2 linked regions of the Diceros bicornis minor genome follow. The protein of the gene in region 1 purifies or fractionates together with the protein of each later gene. This does not show direct contact. Links are inferred from orthologs where the notes say so. Each region holds a gene or a part of one and is shown in the gene's direction. Other genes may lie near its edges.

Region 1 (7,555 bases):
ATTGTTCTGCGGGAGTGGTCTGTGTTGTGACTATTAACCTTTATTTACGTATGGCGAGAGGCTGCTGCCATCTTTTACAGAGTGTGCTATGGAGCAGTGCTTCTCAAGTGAGTGCAGGGGCAAGCATTTGCAAATCTCTCAGAAGCTACTTCAAATTAAATTCACTCAGTCTACCTGATTCTCACAGAACACTCCATCTCCTCTCCAGAAAAAATGCATTGATACACAGGGGAAAAGAAGGATAGACTTTGGGGTGTAACATTTGTAAAGGGAACACGTGATTAGCCTATGGGTGTTTCCAGCATTTCTGCCCCGCTCCACACAGTTTCTGGGCTTCTGTGAGGCAGAGTCAGGAGGATGGGCACACAGACAGAACAAGGGCAGGGGAGGGTGGGAGTGATTCTAAAAGACGGGCCTTCGGGGCCTTTGGGGCCAGTGGAGTTGGAGGGAGTTGGTCACCAGAGAGGTGAGGAGTAGAGAGAATAGAGGCTGCTGTTCTCCAGGCAGGAAGGGAGCAGCATGGTGACGCTAGGGAATGGGGATTCGAGTAGTATGAGACTGGAAGCTAGAAGATAATGGAGCTGTGCCTGTGAGACTCTGAGGGGAAAGGATTTCCATTCTAGAATTCCATGCCCAGCCGAACTGTCAATCAAGGAAGAAGCCTGAACAAAGGCACTTGCAGACACTTCCGCATCCATTCTCAGAAAGCTCCCAGAGCACGCACTTTTCAGAAATAAAGAAGTAAAGCAATGAAGAGAAAGGAAGACCTGGGATCCCAGCAACAGGGAATTCAACAGAGAAGTGAAGAATCTACATCTCCAGAAACACGAAACACGGGCACAAACATCCACACAGGTGTTCAAGGCTTGTAAGCACGTGCTTTAGAGATGTGGAGGTAAACGCTATGGAAAATAGTTAAAAGAGTTGAAACCAGTTGTCCCTGGGAGCAAGAATTTGGAGTGGGTGGGACACGGGACTGCCAGTTTTTGTTATTATACACCTCATTAAATTGTTTACTTTTTAAATACTCTAAATACATTATTTTGAAATAAATACAAATCAGATTTTTAAAGATACACCAAAAGCGTAAAGAAAAAGTGCTACCTTGGGACATGGCTTGGACTCCATTTCAATTTCTTTTTTTTTTTTTTTAATTTTATTTATTTATTTTTCCCCCAAAGCCCCAGTAGATAGCTGTATGTCATAGTTGCACATCCTTCTAGTTGCTGTATGTGGGACGTGGCCTCAGCATAGCCAGAGAAGCGGTGCGTCGGTGCATGCCCGGGATCCAAACCCGGGCCGCCGGTAGTGGAGCGTGCGCACTTAACCGCTAAGCCACAGGGCCGGCCCACCATTTCGATTTCTTTCAGAGATGCAAGCAAAGCTGGAGTGGCTTGCTAATTACTCTTGTTTGCTGGGCTGCTTTTGCCTGTTTGTTTTTGCTTTTGTTTGACTTTTTTTTTTTTTTTTTTTAAGCAATACTGCAGCCAGACAGGGTCATATATGAGGTTTAGGATTATTTTCAGATTGCACCTTCTGGGTTGAAATTCTGCCTCCTCCGCAGGACTAGTTATGTGACCTCCAGCAAGATATGTAACCTGTTGGAATTCCACTTCTCATCCCATGCCACAGTCCTTGCAAGGGCAGAGTGAGATGCAGGCAGGAACATGCCCCTACAGACCTCAGAAGTGCCAGTTACCCTTGCCCCTTAAGAGCCAATTTATTTCAAAAAGAATTAATATATTGAGCAACTTTAAAACTATGATAATGGAAATAAAATATAAAAATGCCTCCACCCTGACAAATCACATCTCCGCGCTTTCCTGGGGGAGCAGCTCTTCCCCAACAGGCTGTGGGGTGGGGAGCAGGGGGCCAGCTGGAACTTGTCTCTGAGCAGCCCCCAACCGGAGTGGCACCCCCCTCCCCTCCAGAACCAGGCGGGGCTGTGGTCTCAGCAAGCCCAGGCAGCCTGGCTGCCAAGCCTCGGAGCAGGATCAGTGCAGATGCCTGAGCCTCCAAACTGTTCCTGGGTCTTGGCAAACAAGGGACGGTCATGATCAAGTGCTCCTTGTGGAAACCAACGTATGGAACTCATTACCAGTCTTCCTGCCAAACTGGCCACACCCAGGCCGGTTCCCTCTGCTACTCCTCTGCCCGGAAGATCTTTTCCCACCCTAGTTTCTGCACGCCTGAGTCCTAGCAGGACTAGTGAAAGCCCAGCTCAAATGCCACTTCCACCACTTGGGCCTCCATGATTCACCACTCCTTCCCTTGAATCCCCCAGGAGTGGATCGCACCTCTCTTTTAACATTTAATAGGTCTTAGTTTTCTTCCCTCCTTCCAGGAAAGACGTCAGGGGGATCTGCATAGCATCTTTCTAAATTAGACATTCTTAACTTGGGGTCTTGGGGGGAAATTATCTTTATTTTCACTATTCTCTAACTGAAATTTAGCGTTTCTTGCTATTATGAATGGAGAAACCACACCACAGTGGTATTAGCAATACCTGTGACTTGTCACCACTAGAAATTAGATATTTTCCTAGCACATTACAGTGGTGACAGAGAACTTGAAACGTTGTTTATGTTCATCACTATTTCAAAAACACAGTAATTATTAGATCTCCATCAGATCTTGTTATTTGTGTTAAAGAAACATATATAACTTTATCACAAATTTGTTTTCTTAATATTTTGTACCTGAATTTCAATGTAATTGGTTTCCATGGAATCCCATGTATTTTGTTTTGTACACTTAAAAGCCTTACTTTGAAAAGGGATCTGTAGGCTGCACCAGGCTTGGGGAGGGGCCCTGGCACTTGAGAAAGGTTAAGCCCCACTTCTAGGTGGATGGCCCCTGCTCACCCCTTTATTCCGCCGGCTTTGGCCCTCACCAGCAGGAGGTCTGCAGGCCTGGGGGTGGGAAGGATTGCCTCAATTATTCTATATTTTTAAATGAACTTTTAATTTTAGAATACTTACAAATTTACAGAAAAGTTGCAAAGATAATTCAGAGTTCCCATGTACCTCACCCCCAATTTCCCCTTTCATTAACATCTTACTTGTCTATGGCACATTTGTCACAAAGAGCCAATACTGATACATTCTTATCCACTATATTCCATAATGTATTCAAATTCCTTACTTTTTCCCTAATGTCCTTTTTCTCATTCAGGAGCCCATCCAGGGTACACATTACATTTAGTTTTCGTGTCTCCTTAGGCTTCTCTGGGCTGTGACAGTTTCTCAGACTTGCCCTGTTTTTGATGACCTCGACAGGTCAGAGGTTTTCTAGACCGTTCCTCAAGTGGGATTTGTCTGATGTTTTAATCATGATTAGACTGCAGTTATGGGTTTTGAGGGAGGAGGACCACATCATATCAAGGGTGCTTACTATCAACATGACTTATCCCTGTTGATGTTGACCTCGATCACCTGGTTGAGGTAGTGTTTGTCAGGTTTCTCCACTGTACAGTTACTCTTTTTCTCCCTTTTGAAGAAAGTTACTATGCAGAGCCCACCCTGAAGGAGTGGGAAGTTACGCTCCACCGTGGAGTATCTACAAAAATTATTTGGAATTTTTCTGAATGGGAAATTTGCCTCTTCTCCCTCACTTATTTATTTATCCAGTCATTTATTTATATCAGCAGGGACTCAGGGATGTTTATTTTATACTTTGGGTTATAATCCAAGGCTGCTTTAGTTATTTTGTTGCTGTTTGTTTTAAACTTAACATTATCGAGGTATATCTTACATAGAATACAATGCACCATTTTAAGTGCATAATTAGATGAGTCTTAAGAAGTGCCTCCACCTGGGGAGCCCCCACCCCTCACGCTACCCACACCGCAGGGGCTCAGGAGTGTCCATGGACCCAAACTCAATTCCTCAGACAAGGACTTGAAGGATTACATCAACTTCCCATTTCAGGGTTAGAGAAGCCCAAGTTCCCCGCCGGGGGTAAACAGAGTCGCTAAGGGGCAAAAACATGCGCACATCAGCAGTTATTTTTCTCTGCAGTCAGCAGCCCAGGAACTTTGCTAACAGTGCCACAGAGGGTCTGGAGCGCGAAGCTACTGGGTGACAGTGGGGTGGCCTGGCCATGGCGTGGGGGAGGATAGAGGGATAATGCAGGGGTGAATCCCTTCCCAGCTTCCTTCCAGTGTGTCCTCAGCATTCTCTGCCCTCCGCCCTCTCTCGCACAGCCCTTTCGGCAACGCCCTCCCCTCAGACCTCACGGGCCGCCGGGCCCAGGAGGGGCGATCGCCCAGGAGCCCCTCGGAGTCCGGCGGGGCCCAGAGGCCGCCCTGCGCTGTCTGGGCTGGGGCCGGGTATTTGGGGACCGGCGGGCGGGCCTGTGGCGCTGGGGGGCGGTCCGAGCCCGGGACAGAAGTGGGCCGAACCCTTGGCCTCCGTCCCAGGGGGTGGCGCCGCGGCACGAACGGTCCGGGTCCCTCCCAGGCGGCAGCAGAACAGGCGGTGGCCCGGAGGCCACGGAGCTATGGACGGCAGCGGGCCCTTCAGCTGCCCCATCTGCCTTGAGCCGCTCCGGGAGCCGGTGACGCTGCCCTGCGGCCACAACTTCTGCCTCGCCTGCCTGGGCGCGCTCTGGCCGCACCGCGGCACGGGTGGCGCCGGCGGGCCCGGAGGCGCGGCCCGCTGCCCGCTGTGCCAGGAGCCCTTCCCCGACGGCCTGCAGCTCCGCAAGAACCACACGCTGTCCGAGCTGCTGCAGCTCCGCCAGGGCTCGGGCCCAGGCTCGGGCCGTGGCCCGGCCGCCGAGCCCGCGGCGCCCAGTGCGCCGCCCAGCACCTCGGAGCCGTCGGCTCCCTGCGCGCCCGAGCCGTGGCCGGCGGGCGAAGAGCCGGTGCGCTGCGACGCGTGCCCCGAGGGCGCCGCCCTGCCCGCCGCGCTCTCCTGCCTCTCCTGCCTCGCCTCCTTCTGCCCCGCGCACCTTGGCCCACACGAGCGCAGCCCTGCGCTGCGCGGACACCGCCTGGTGCCGCCGCTGCGCCGGCTGGAGGAGAGCCTGTGCCCGCGCCACCTGCGGCCGCTGGAGCGCTACTGCCGCGCGGAGCGCGTGTGCCTGTGCGAGGCCTGCGGCGCCCAGGAGCACCGGGGCCACGAGCTGGTGCCGCTGGAGCAGGAGCGCGCGCTCCAGGAGGTGAGGTGCGGGCACCGCGGGCGGGCCAGGGCGGGTGACGGACGGCCGCGCGAGCCGGCCGAGGGCCCTGGACTGCCCCTCTCACCCTCATCCTTCCAGGGTTGGGTCTTAATTTCCTCCTGTAACGTGAGGATCTTTGCTGCCCCTTCCAGCCGTGACAGTGTCATCCGCTCGCTGTGGGACATTCCGTTCGAGATGGGAATAGGGGGCTGAAGGGACCCAGTGAGAACGCGTAAAGGCCGTGAAGGGCCGGCAGGAGCCTGAAGCCGGGGCGGGGCCGATGGGGGGACTAAGGCAGGAGGGGGCCGGGTTAGGCCGGCGGGGTCCCAGGCGGCTGATTCTGGCAGCGCGGCTGATGCGCCCGGCCGGGGTCGGGCTCAGCTCAGATTTGCCCTGGGCTGGGACTGGGGGTTTGGATGGGTGTGGCAGGCGACAGGAGTGCCGCAGAGGGTAGGCCGAGCACACAGACCGCTCTGTCCAGCTCTTCCGGGGGCCGGTGGTGGGAGCATGTGCGCGCAGTCCGTCCAGCTACCTCCGCCCCCAGTTTCCTTTGGCCTCCAGCCCGGTCTTGGCGCCTCTGGCCTTGGGATTTTCCGTCTCTCCTGGCTGGAGCAGTGATTCATAAAACCCAAGGGATTTGCCTGGAATTCCCTTTTTTCAGGCCTGGATTGGGGACACAGACTCTTTGGGGACAGGGATCCCCAGGACAGCTGAATGCCCTCTTGTGCAGCACTCCTCACTCTCTATCATTCTCTGCCTCTTCCTCTGAAGGAAGTTCTCAAACAAATGTGAGCAACATTGAGGACCATGGATGGCCTTGTACTTGCCTACTGGTCAGAGAAGGGAGGCAGACAAAACCCCACCTCCCCACCCCCAACCAGACTGTGCTCTCCCTAGGCATTTGGAAATGGCACCAGCCTGGGCTTGAGACACCTCTGACATATTATGGGACATCATGGCCACTCCCAGTCCCACCTATGCACAGATACCACGCTGGGGTCACTTCTCTCCTCCCTCTGGTAAAGCCTGGGACCCCAGTGCAAGGCTGTGTCCTCTCCAGACCCCATACTCAGGAAGGTGTCATCCACAGGCGGAGCAGCCCAAAGTCCTGAGCGCTGTGGAGGACCGCATGGACGAGCTGGGCGCCGGCATTGCACAGTCCCGGCGCACGGTGGCCCTCATCAAGGTCAGACCCCACGCTACCCTGGTCCCTGTCCACTCCTGCAGCAGGCTCCTGAAAGTGTGAGCTTTCGTCGTGGCACGGTCCACTCCAAAGAAGCCTGTGCTCAGGGCACTGTCCGGCCCTGCTGAGCACAAGCATCTCCTCTGGCCTGGCATAGATCCAGGGCAGCTCGGGCTGGTCCCTCTGTCTCTCCAAGAGGGCAGGGTGGGAAGGTGAGGTCTGGGAAGGATAGGGCCAACACAGCGCAGTTCTTTGCCTTCATCGCTGCCCCACTGTTGTCCTATGCAGAGTGCAGCCGTGGCAGAGCGGGACAGGGTGAGCCGGCTGTTTGCCGAGGCTGCAGCAACCTTGCAAGGGTTCCAAACAGAGGTGCTGGGCTTCATCGAGGAGGGGGAGGCCCTCATGCTTGGCCGCTCCCAGGGCGACCTGCGGCGGCAGGAAGAACAGCGCAGCAGGCTAAGCCGGGCCCGCCACAACCTCAGTCAGGTCCCTGAAGCCGACTCGGTCAGCTTCCTGCAGGTGAGGGCAGCTTTTTGGGCCAGAGAGGGCACAGAAGGGGGGGTAGGCAGGAGGTGGAGGGAAGAGAAGGCAGTGGGTGCCTGGCCTTCAGGGCTGTGCCAGCCTCCCGGCAGAGCTGTCTCACCCCAGCCTGGAGGAGCTGTGGCCAGCAGGGCCTTAATGGGTATTTATCTGGCACAGGAGCTCCTGGCACTCAGGCTGGCCCTGGAGGAGGGGTGCGGCCCTGGGCCCGGTCCTCCAAAGGAGCTCAGCTTCACCAAGTCATCCCAAGCTGTGCGGGCAGTGAGAGACGTGCTGACTGTGGCCTGCACCAGCCAGTGGGAGCAGCTGCGGGGGCTGGGCAGTGACGAGGATGGGCTGCAGAAGCTGGGCACGGAAGGTGGGTGCCCCCCGAAGTGACTCACTCTTCCCCAGTCTCCCCGCACAGGCCCCCAGGCCTGGTGCCCATTCAGGAGTGGAGAATAGAAACTGTGCCTGGTGCAGGGTAGGACACAAATCCTGCCAGGGACCAGAGCCACCACCCTGTAATGACCAGTCAGCCCCTTTGGCCACAGCCTAGGGGGCAGAGGGGCTTCTCCTAGCCCACTCTCTAGCTCCAGAGGGGCTGAGACCCAGGGGCCAAGTGGAGCAGGGGGCAGAACCCAAGGCCCAGGCGTGCATGTGAACACAGGGTGCCATATTTGGGCGTGT
Region 2 (7,164 bases), on another chromosome or scaffold:
AGCAGGTGCTCAATAACTATTTGTTGAGTAAAGAATGAATGACCGCATGCCTAAGAAGCAGCTCTAGAGCCAATGGGTGGACAATTCGGAATGCGTATTATTGAAGCTGCAGTGGACAGGCTCAGCCTCGCCACGGAGCCGGCTGCACTTAGCAGGGAACCAGCAGGCCAGTGGGAATGCGGGGTTTGGAATCAGATAGACCAGGGTTTGAGTCTTGGCTCTGCCACTTCCTGGCTGGCCACAGGCCTTGGACAAGTTTTTGACCTTAAGAAGCCTCAGTTCCCTCATCTGTAGAGAGAGGAGCATGAGAGAACCACAGCATAGGGTGTTGGTTGGTGAAAGGCTGTGTCTGTAGCCCCCTGGGAGCGCTGTGCATTTAACAAGAGCTACACAGGTGTTCGCTCCATTGTGTGGCTGTCTAGTTTCTGTCGCTCCAGAGATTACGGGTCTTGTCTCCAGTACCTACACGAGGGCACTGTGGCCACAGGAGCCGGGCACTCACTTATGGAGGGGCCACACTGCTACAATCCCTTTCTCATGAGCCCTCACTTGGTATTTCTTTCCATGTCACTAACTGCCCTCCTGAGGGAAAAGTAAGCAGAAGGCTGGGTTCAGGGGTGGGTGGCGGGGGCGGTGAGTGATGGTCCAGACTGTTACTTCTCAACTTCCTGTCTCTGACACAGACCAGAGCTGACCTCCTGGGGCTGGAGCCTGGTGAGGAAATGGGTGGTGCCTGTTTCTGTACAGGACTCACAGCCATTACAAAATTGGTAATATCGCACACACGACTCGAACCTGCAGTATTGTGTGAATCGGAGTGTGTTTTGTGATGCGAGAGGAGGAGAAATCATTGCAGCCAGCAAAGAGCAACTCTGCAATGGGGTGGGTGACAGCGGGAGGGAGAAATCCCACGTGTGGAGAACCATGCACAAGGTGAATGCCTTCCCCTGGTCCTGCACCATCCTTGGTCTCTGGCTAACACCCAGGTGATGAGTTTATGCATCTTGACCCGAAGAGGACTCGTCAGAGTTATCCAACATGATGGGGGGGACATAATTGCACAACAGGTAAATATAGGCTGAGGCTATCCATTCTCATGTCCCTTCAGCCCCCTTTTGATGGCAAAGGAACTTTCTTTCTTCTGTTCAGATGAAAACACCAGCTGACACTATCTGTATAATGAATGAAAGACTTCCGTAGCATGTACTTACTACAGGTTGGGCAGAGTTCGTAAACACCTTACCTGCATCGCTTGTAGAATCCAACGAGATGGCCACAATCATTAGCCCCAATTTACAGAGGAACAAAATGTTGCTCAGAGAGATCAGGAACTTGCACAGGCTTTCACCGCCAGTACGGGCCAAGGCCAGGACTCAGACCCAGGTGGTCCAGCTCTAGAGTCTGCACATTTCACCACTATGCCAAGTGGCCGGTTCCTAAGGGGGATGGTTTGCCTTGTAGGTGGTGGGCTTCCCATTATTGTGGGTGACAGGGATCAATAACTGAGCTAGACAGAGGTCTCTTCCATGTATTCAGTGCATCCTCTGTGTCCAGCTTGGAGCTGAGCACTCTGCCAACATCATCTCATGTCATGCTCATGACACTCCCGCCAGCTCAAGCAATCATCCTACCTTACAGACAAATAAACTGGGATTAGAGGGATTGGGTACCAGGCTATGAGGGCTGGAAGCTGGGAATCCAGCGGGCCTGCTCAACCCCCATCCTGAGCTCTTCACCTCTTTCCAGGGACAGTTTGCAAGGGATTAAACTTCAGGAGGGCTGGGTTGGACTAGACGACTTTTCCGATCCTAGCCAACCTGAGCTCCTGCGGACTAACACATCTGACACGTGAAGGGGCAAAGTCTTGAACAGAGCTGCTGTTAACAAGTGCTAGGCCAAAAATATTAGTCATCACGTTTCAGATTTTATATTCGAGGAAACATTTCTCTTCTGAGGTGTTTTTTTTCCTTTTAACACCCTGCAGTGTTTCTCCTGAAAAGTTGCCTGAGCAACTTGCCTGAGCAAAGAGTTAAGTGGACCCTCAAGAGGTCTGCTCTCTCTGCAGTGGTATCAATGCCCCCTTGGGCTAAGAGGAGACAGTAACTATCTTTCCTGGTGGTACGACCCCTTCCCGCATCCAGCGCTCCCCCACCTGACAACCCTGGGCACAAGCAGCAGCACGCCGGGTCCCCACGATTGAATCCAGCGGTCAGCTTTCAGGTCTCATCTTGCTGGACCCGTCTGCAGCATTTGGCACACGGGTCAACCCTGCTCCTTGACTCACATTCTTCACTTGGCTTCCTGAGTGCCACACCTCTTGGCTTTCAGCCGACCCCTTCCTTGGTGATCCCTTCCAGTCTCATGGCTCCAAACACCATTCATCAGTGAGGTTTTCCAATTTATATCTCCAGCGTCCACTTCTCCTCTGAACTCCAGAGTCACAAATCCAGCTGTCTACTTGACATTCCCTTGGATGTCTAATAGGCATTTGAAATCTAGTGTATCCCATAACTAATTCCTAATCTTCAACCACACCCCCAGTGTATGCCCCTCCTGGTCTTCCTGGTCGAGGGCCACTCCAACATTCCAGTTGCTCAGGCTCCAACCCTTAGAATCATCCTGAACTGTCCTTCCTCACATCTCATCTGTAAACAAAACTGTCAGCTCTACCTTCAATCCAGGAAGCAGTCAGTTCTCATCATGCCCACTGCTACCTTGCTGGATCACCAGCTCTCAGTCAAGCATCTGTCTTCTCTCTTAGGTCTCATCTTAACACAGCAGCCAGAGTATGAAAGCAAAGGGCAGATCACCCATCCCCACTATTGGAAACTCTCCAGTGGTTTTCCTCTGAGGCAAAGTCAAACCTTACTTGGCTCTCCAGGCCTCACACCTCTATCCTCCCCTCCCCTCTTGGGCCTTATCTTCTCTCTCTCACCCCCTGGATAGCTCTACTCCAGCTCCACTGGTCTCCAGGCCATTACTCAAACATGCCACAAACCCTCACACCTCAGGGCCTTTGCACTTGCTCTTCTCTCTGTGGAAGATACTTCCTCAATCTCCACCAGCTGCTCTCTCACACCCTCCTGCTTTTTGCTCAAATGTCAATTTCTCAGTGAAGTTCTTCCTCACTACTCTATGCAACTCTTGCCCCAGCGCTCCCTGTCTCCATTCCCTATTTCATTTTTCTCTATAGCACTTCTGGCTCAGCTAACATCCTAACCTAGTGTTTGTTTATTTTCTACCGTCTCTCTGTTAAAAGGTAAGGTCAAGCAGGCAGGAGCTTTCTCTACTTTGTTCAGGCTGTATCCCAGTGCATGGGGCAGTGCCTGGCACACAGTACGTGCTCCATAAATGCTGTTCCCTGGATCAGCGTATGAACTGCGGGAGGAGAGCAGCGTGGTGGCTACACAGCGGTCAAGATGTGGGCTAAGAGACTTCTGGCCTCAGCACCCAGGAGACACTTCTCTGTGTCTGCCACTGTTTCCTCTGCAAAACGCAGATGTCGGAAACTACGGTTCCCAACAGCTCTGGAATTACAGGAACCTTGAGAGGAAGAGGCCTGGATTAGAAGGATCCAGACATGGGCGGTCAGACAGGTGAGGGACATGGAAATCCACGTCTCCTGAGGTTGGTCAGAAGAGCCAGGTGACAGGCCAAGCAGGGGGGACAGAGGGCAGGGAGCAGGGACAGGTGGCGACGATGGGGGCGGGGACGGCAGCGGTCAGACCCACGTGCCGAGAGCAGGCCGCGGGGCCGGGCCGCAGCGCCCGCGTCCTCCCGGGCTAGCTGCGTCGCGGGGATCGCCTTCCTTCACCTTCCGAACTTCCGTTTCACGTCTTGGGGGAAAATCCTGACTGCACCTGCGCGCCAGGGTCGCCGTGGGGACTGAAGGAGGTAACGCAGGTGACCCAGAGCGATGTCCACGGCGCCAGCGGCAGTCCAGCGGCGCGGGGGCTGGGGGCCACAGCGGAGGAAGCAGAGGGGGCGGCGGGGGCGGCGACCCGGGTCCCCCACGTCACCGGGGATCGGAGGGGCGGGGCGGCAGTCGAGGGGGCGGGGGCGTGGGCGGAGATGTTCCGGGGCGGGGGGCAGTGACCTGGCGCCTATAGGCTCCCCCGGGACACGGCGGCGGGGACCTGGCCTGGGCCACTTAGGCTCCGAGGGGTGCAGACACTCGGCCGTCGCTCCGTCCCGCCGCGTCCCGCCGCCCGCACCTGCCGCCCCGCGCAGCAGCCCGGCCCCAGCATGACGGACCAGGCGGCCTTCGACACGGATATCGTCACCCTGACCCGCTTCGTCATGGAGGAGGGCAGGAAGGCCCGCGGCACGGGCGAGATGACCCAGCTGCTCAACTCGCTCTGCACCGCGGTCAAAGCCATCTCCACGGCCGTGCGCAAGGCGGGCATTGCGCACCTGTGAGTCAGGCCTGCGGCCGCCCCGCTGCACCCTGTCTGTCTGTCTGTCCGGCTGGGGGTCTACCTGGCAGTCTGATATCTAGTCATCCGGCCCTCCTGCTGTCAGCCTGTCTGTCTGTCTGACAGCTGGGGGTCTCTCCCTCTCTCTCTGGTAGCCCCTCTCTTCAGAAGCCCTGGTTCTGGCTCTCTTGAGCTTGGGGTTCCCACTTGGGGACCTGTCTCCCAGTCCACACCTGCCTCCATCCTGCAGTCCTCTCCCCTGGACTGAGCAGCCTGCCTTGGCACCCCTCTCAGCTTCCTCCTGGTGAAACTGATTGGCCGGGGTGGGCACCTGGCCTGCCTGCCGTACCCATCAAGCCTCATACAGGAAAGTCGTGGAGTGGGTGCCTTTCTTTCCTTTTCTCTTCTTTGACCTCCTTCACTCTCTTTGGCACGGAGGTCCCAAGTCAGATTTCTAATCCAGTATCTCCTTGACTCTACAAGTTCTTTTAGGAGCCAGGGGCCCCTGAGGCAGGCTGGGAGGGAGCCTGCAGGCCCAGAGCTCTCAGGAGCAGCAATGCCGGTGTGCAAAGGGCTGCAGTAGGTGTGGGGTGGGGCCTGAGTTTCTGCATTTCTAGGAAGTTCTTCTGCGGTAGGTGGTACTAATGCTGCTGGTCTGCAGATCACACTGTGTAGCAAAGGAATCAGGGGACATGGGAATTCAAAGGTCACCTTCTTGTGAGGCTTTTTGTAAGTAACACAATACCCTTTGGGTTATTCTGCTGTGCACAAGTATTTTATATTTAGACTGGTCCTCACTGTAACTGAAAGGTACGTGGCTTTTCAGATTGCCCACACTCCCTCCTAACATTTCCCACACTTAGGAACACTATAAAAATTGTGCATGATAGTCATAGCTGATCTGAAAAAGTATAATGCCTGAAGCCTGGATGCCGTTTCTGGTCAGCTGTTTGGCTTGGGTCCCATAGTTTGGGTTGGTGGAGCTAACTCTTAAGGAGCGTGTGTTCATATTTATTTTCAGATGTCAAGCAGGGACGGGCCTTGTTGGAGAGAGACTGGGACAGGTATGTTAGGAAGGTGGTGACTCCATCACTATTTCACCCATAGCCCCTCTTAAGAGTACATTTCTAAGGAGCCTTTGCTTAGGAAACACACTCACTTAAAATCTTACTTCACATTTAATCTGCAACAAGTACAGGTGTCCTCACAGCCTTACCTGCTTTTGAGGACCAGGGGGCTTTTTGAAAAAGAGTGCTTGTCATTTCTTGTATTGTTTTAAAAATACATCAGTACCTTTCACAACCCCAAAGAGAATCAGAAACACAAGATCTGCTTTGAGCTGTATCTTTCCCACCTGTTAAGTAACCTCACATAGTGGGACCTTAGAGAGTGGGATTTTGATAGTGGGTCCTGGGCAAGGGTGCTAATTCTGGCTATGTAAAATACGTATATTTTTAGACCAGATAGTTGTAAATACCCGGTTTTAAAACCATATTGTTGTTATAATTATAAACCACTTAATAAGTTGCAAAAATTCAGACCACTTGAAAGAACACAAAGGGAAACCCACCTCATATCCATTTCCCGGGGTATCCACTATTAGTAATTTACTGGTTATTTTCCCAGATACTTCTTTATACTCATATAAATTATACATGGATATGTATTTACATAGGCCTATTTGTAAATAGCAAACAAAATGAGATCACACTTAACATATTCTTCTGCAGTTCGCGTTCATCATTCACCAATATATTATGAACATCCTTCAATGTCAGGACATATAAATCCACCTCTTTCTTTTTAACTGTTGCGTAGTCTTCCACTGCAAGGACATATCCTGAGCTATTTAACTATTTCCCTATGTTTGGGCATTTCACAGGTCTTTGACTATTTCAAACAGTACCCGTAAACAGGTGTTGATTGCTGGTCGTGTGGGTAGTTGACAGGGGCAGACCAGAACCTAGACACTTAAGTATTCCTGTGGGAAAATAAGAGTTTGGCTGTCTCAGTATGACATGCAGTCAGTCTGGCAGGCAGCAGTGAGACAAGATCTCAAGTCAGGCCTCCAAATTACACTCATTATCGGCTTTGATATCCTGGATGAAAAGGCCAGGTTGCTTGAAGATACCTGGTTAATGCTGAAGGCTTGCCCTAGAAGGGCATGTATCCAGAGGGACAAGATGATTGCGGATTTGCAGGAACCTCCCAGGAACCAGTTATGGAGCTCAGCCGTGACTTCTCATCAGGGACACATCAGGAGTTTAAGCAGAGAGCCCGGGGCGCTCTCTTGCTCTCTCTCTTTCTCTCTCTCTCTCTGTCAACCAACAGTTTCTGTTGTAGCCATCTTCATTGCTCCTAATCAGATGTTCACAGAATCATAAAATTATAAGCTGAAAGACTCAGAAGTCCCCTAGTCCAGCCCCTCTTTGCACAGATGAGGACCCTGAGGCCAGGGAGGATGAGGTGAACTGGCCTGTGGCCCAGGTTGGGGCTCTTTTCACCATACCGCACATCACTTCCTTTATTCTTTAGAAATCAGTTAAAGCTCACCCAACTCTAAATCTCATCTATTTATTACATTTTTTTTTTTTTTTGAGGAAGATCAGCCCTGAGCTAACATCCATGCCAATCCGCCTGTTTTTGCTGAGGAAGACTGGCCCTGGGCTAACATCTGTGCCCATCTTCCTCCACTTTATGTGGGACGCCTGCCACAGCATGGTCGGACAAGCGGTGCGTCGGTGCTCGC

Evidence for each region. The genes of interacting proteins can lie anywhere in the genome.
Region 2: the proteins of TRIM47 (region 1) and FBP1 purify together in Homo sapiens (affinity purification with western blotting; 3 studies listed by BioGRID). This does not show direct contact. The link is inferred for Diceros bicornis minor from reciprocal best matches to the Homo sapiens genes TRIM47 and FBP1.

The regions. Positions count from the first base shown.
Region 1 is NC_080757.1:56,271,485-56,279,039, reverse strand, and holds the start of TRIM47 (E3 ubiquitin-protein ligase TRIM47), read left to right. Parts: upstream 1-4,474; 5' UTR 4,475-4,500; coding exon 4,501-5,163; intron 5,164-6,253; coding exon 6,254-6,349; intron 6,350-6,634; coding exon 6,635-6,865; intron 6,866-7,045; coding exon 7,046-7,244; intron 7,245-7,555. UniProt on the Homo sapiens protein: E3 ubiquitin-protein ligase that mediates the ubiquitination and proteasomal degradation of CYLD.
Region 2 is NC_080761.1:5,705,718-5,712,881, forward strand, and holds the start of FBP1 (fructose-1,6-bisphosphatase 1), read left to right. Parts: upstream 1-4,143; 5' UTR 4,144-4,245; coding exon 4,246-4,415; intron 4,416-7,164. UniProt on the Homo sapiens protein: Catalyzes the hydrolysis of fructose 1,6-bisphosphate to fructose 6-phosphate in the presence of divalent cations, acting as a rate-limiting enzyme in gluconeogenesis. Plays a role in regulating glucose sensing and insulin secretion of pancreatic beta-cells.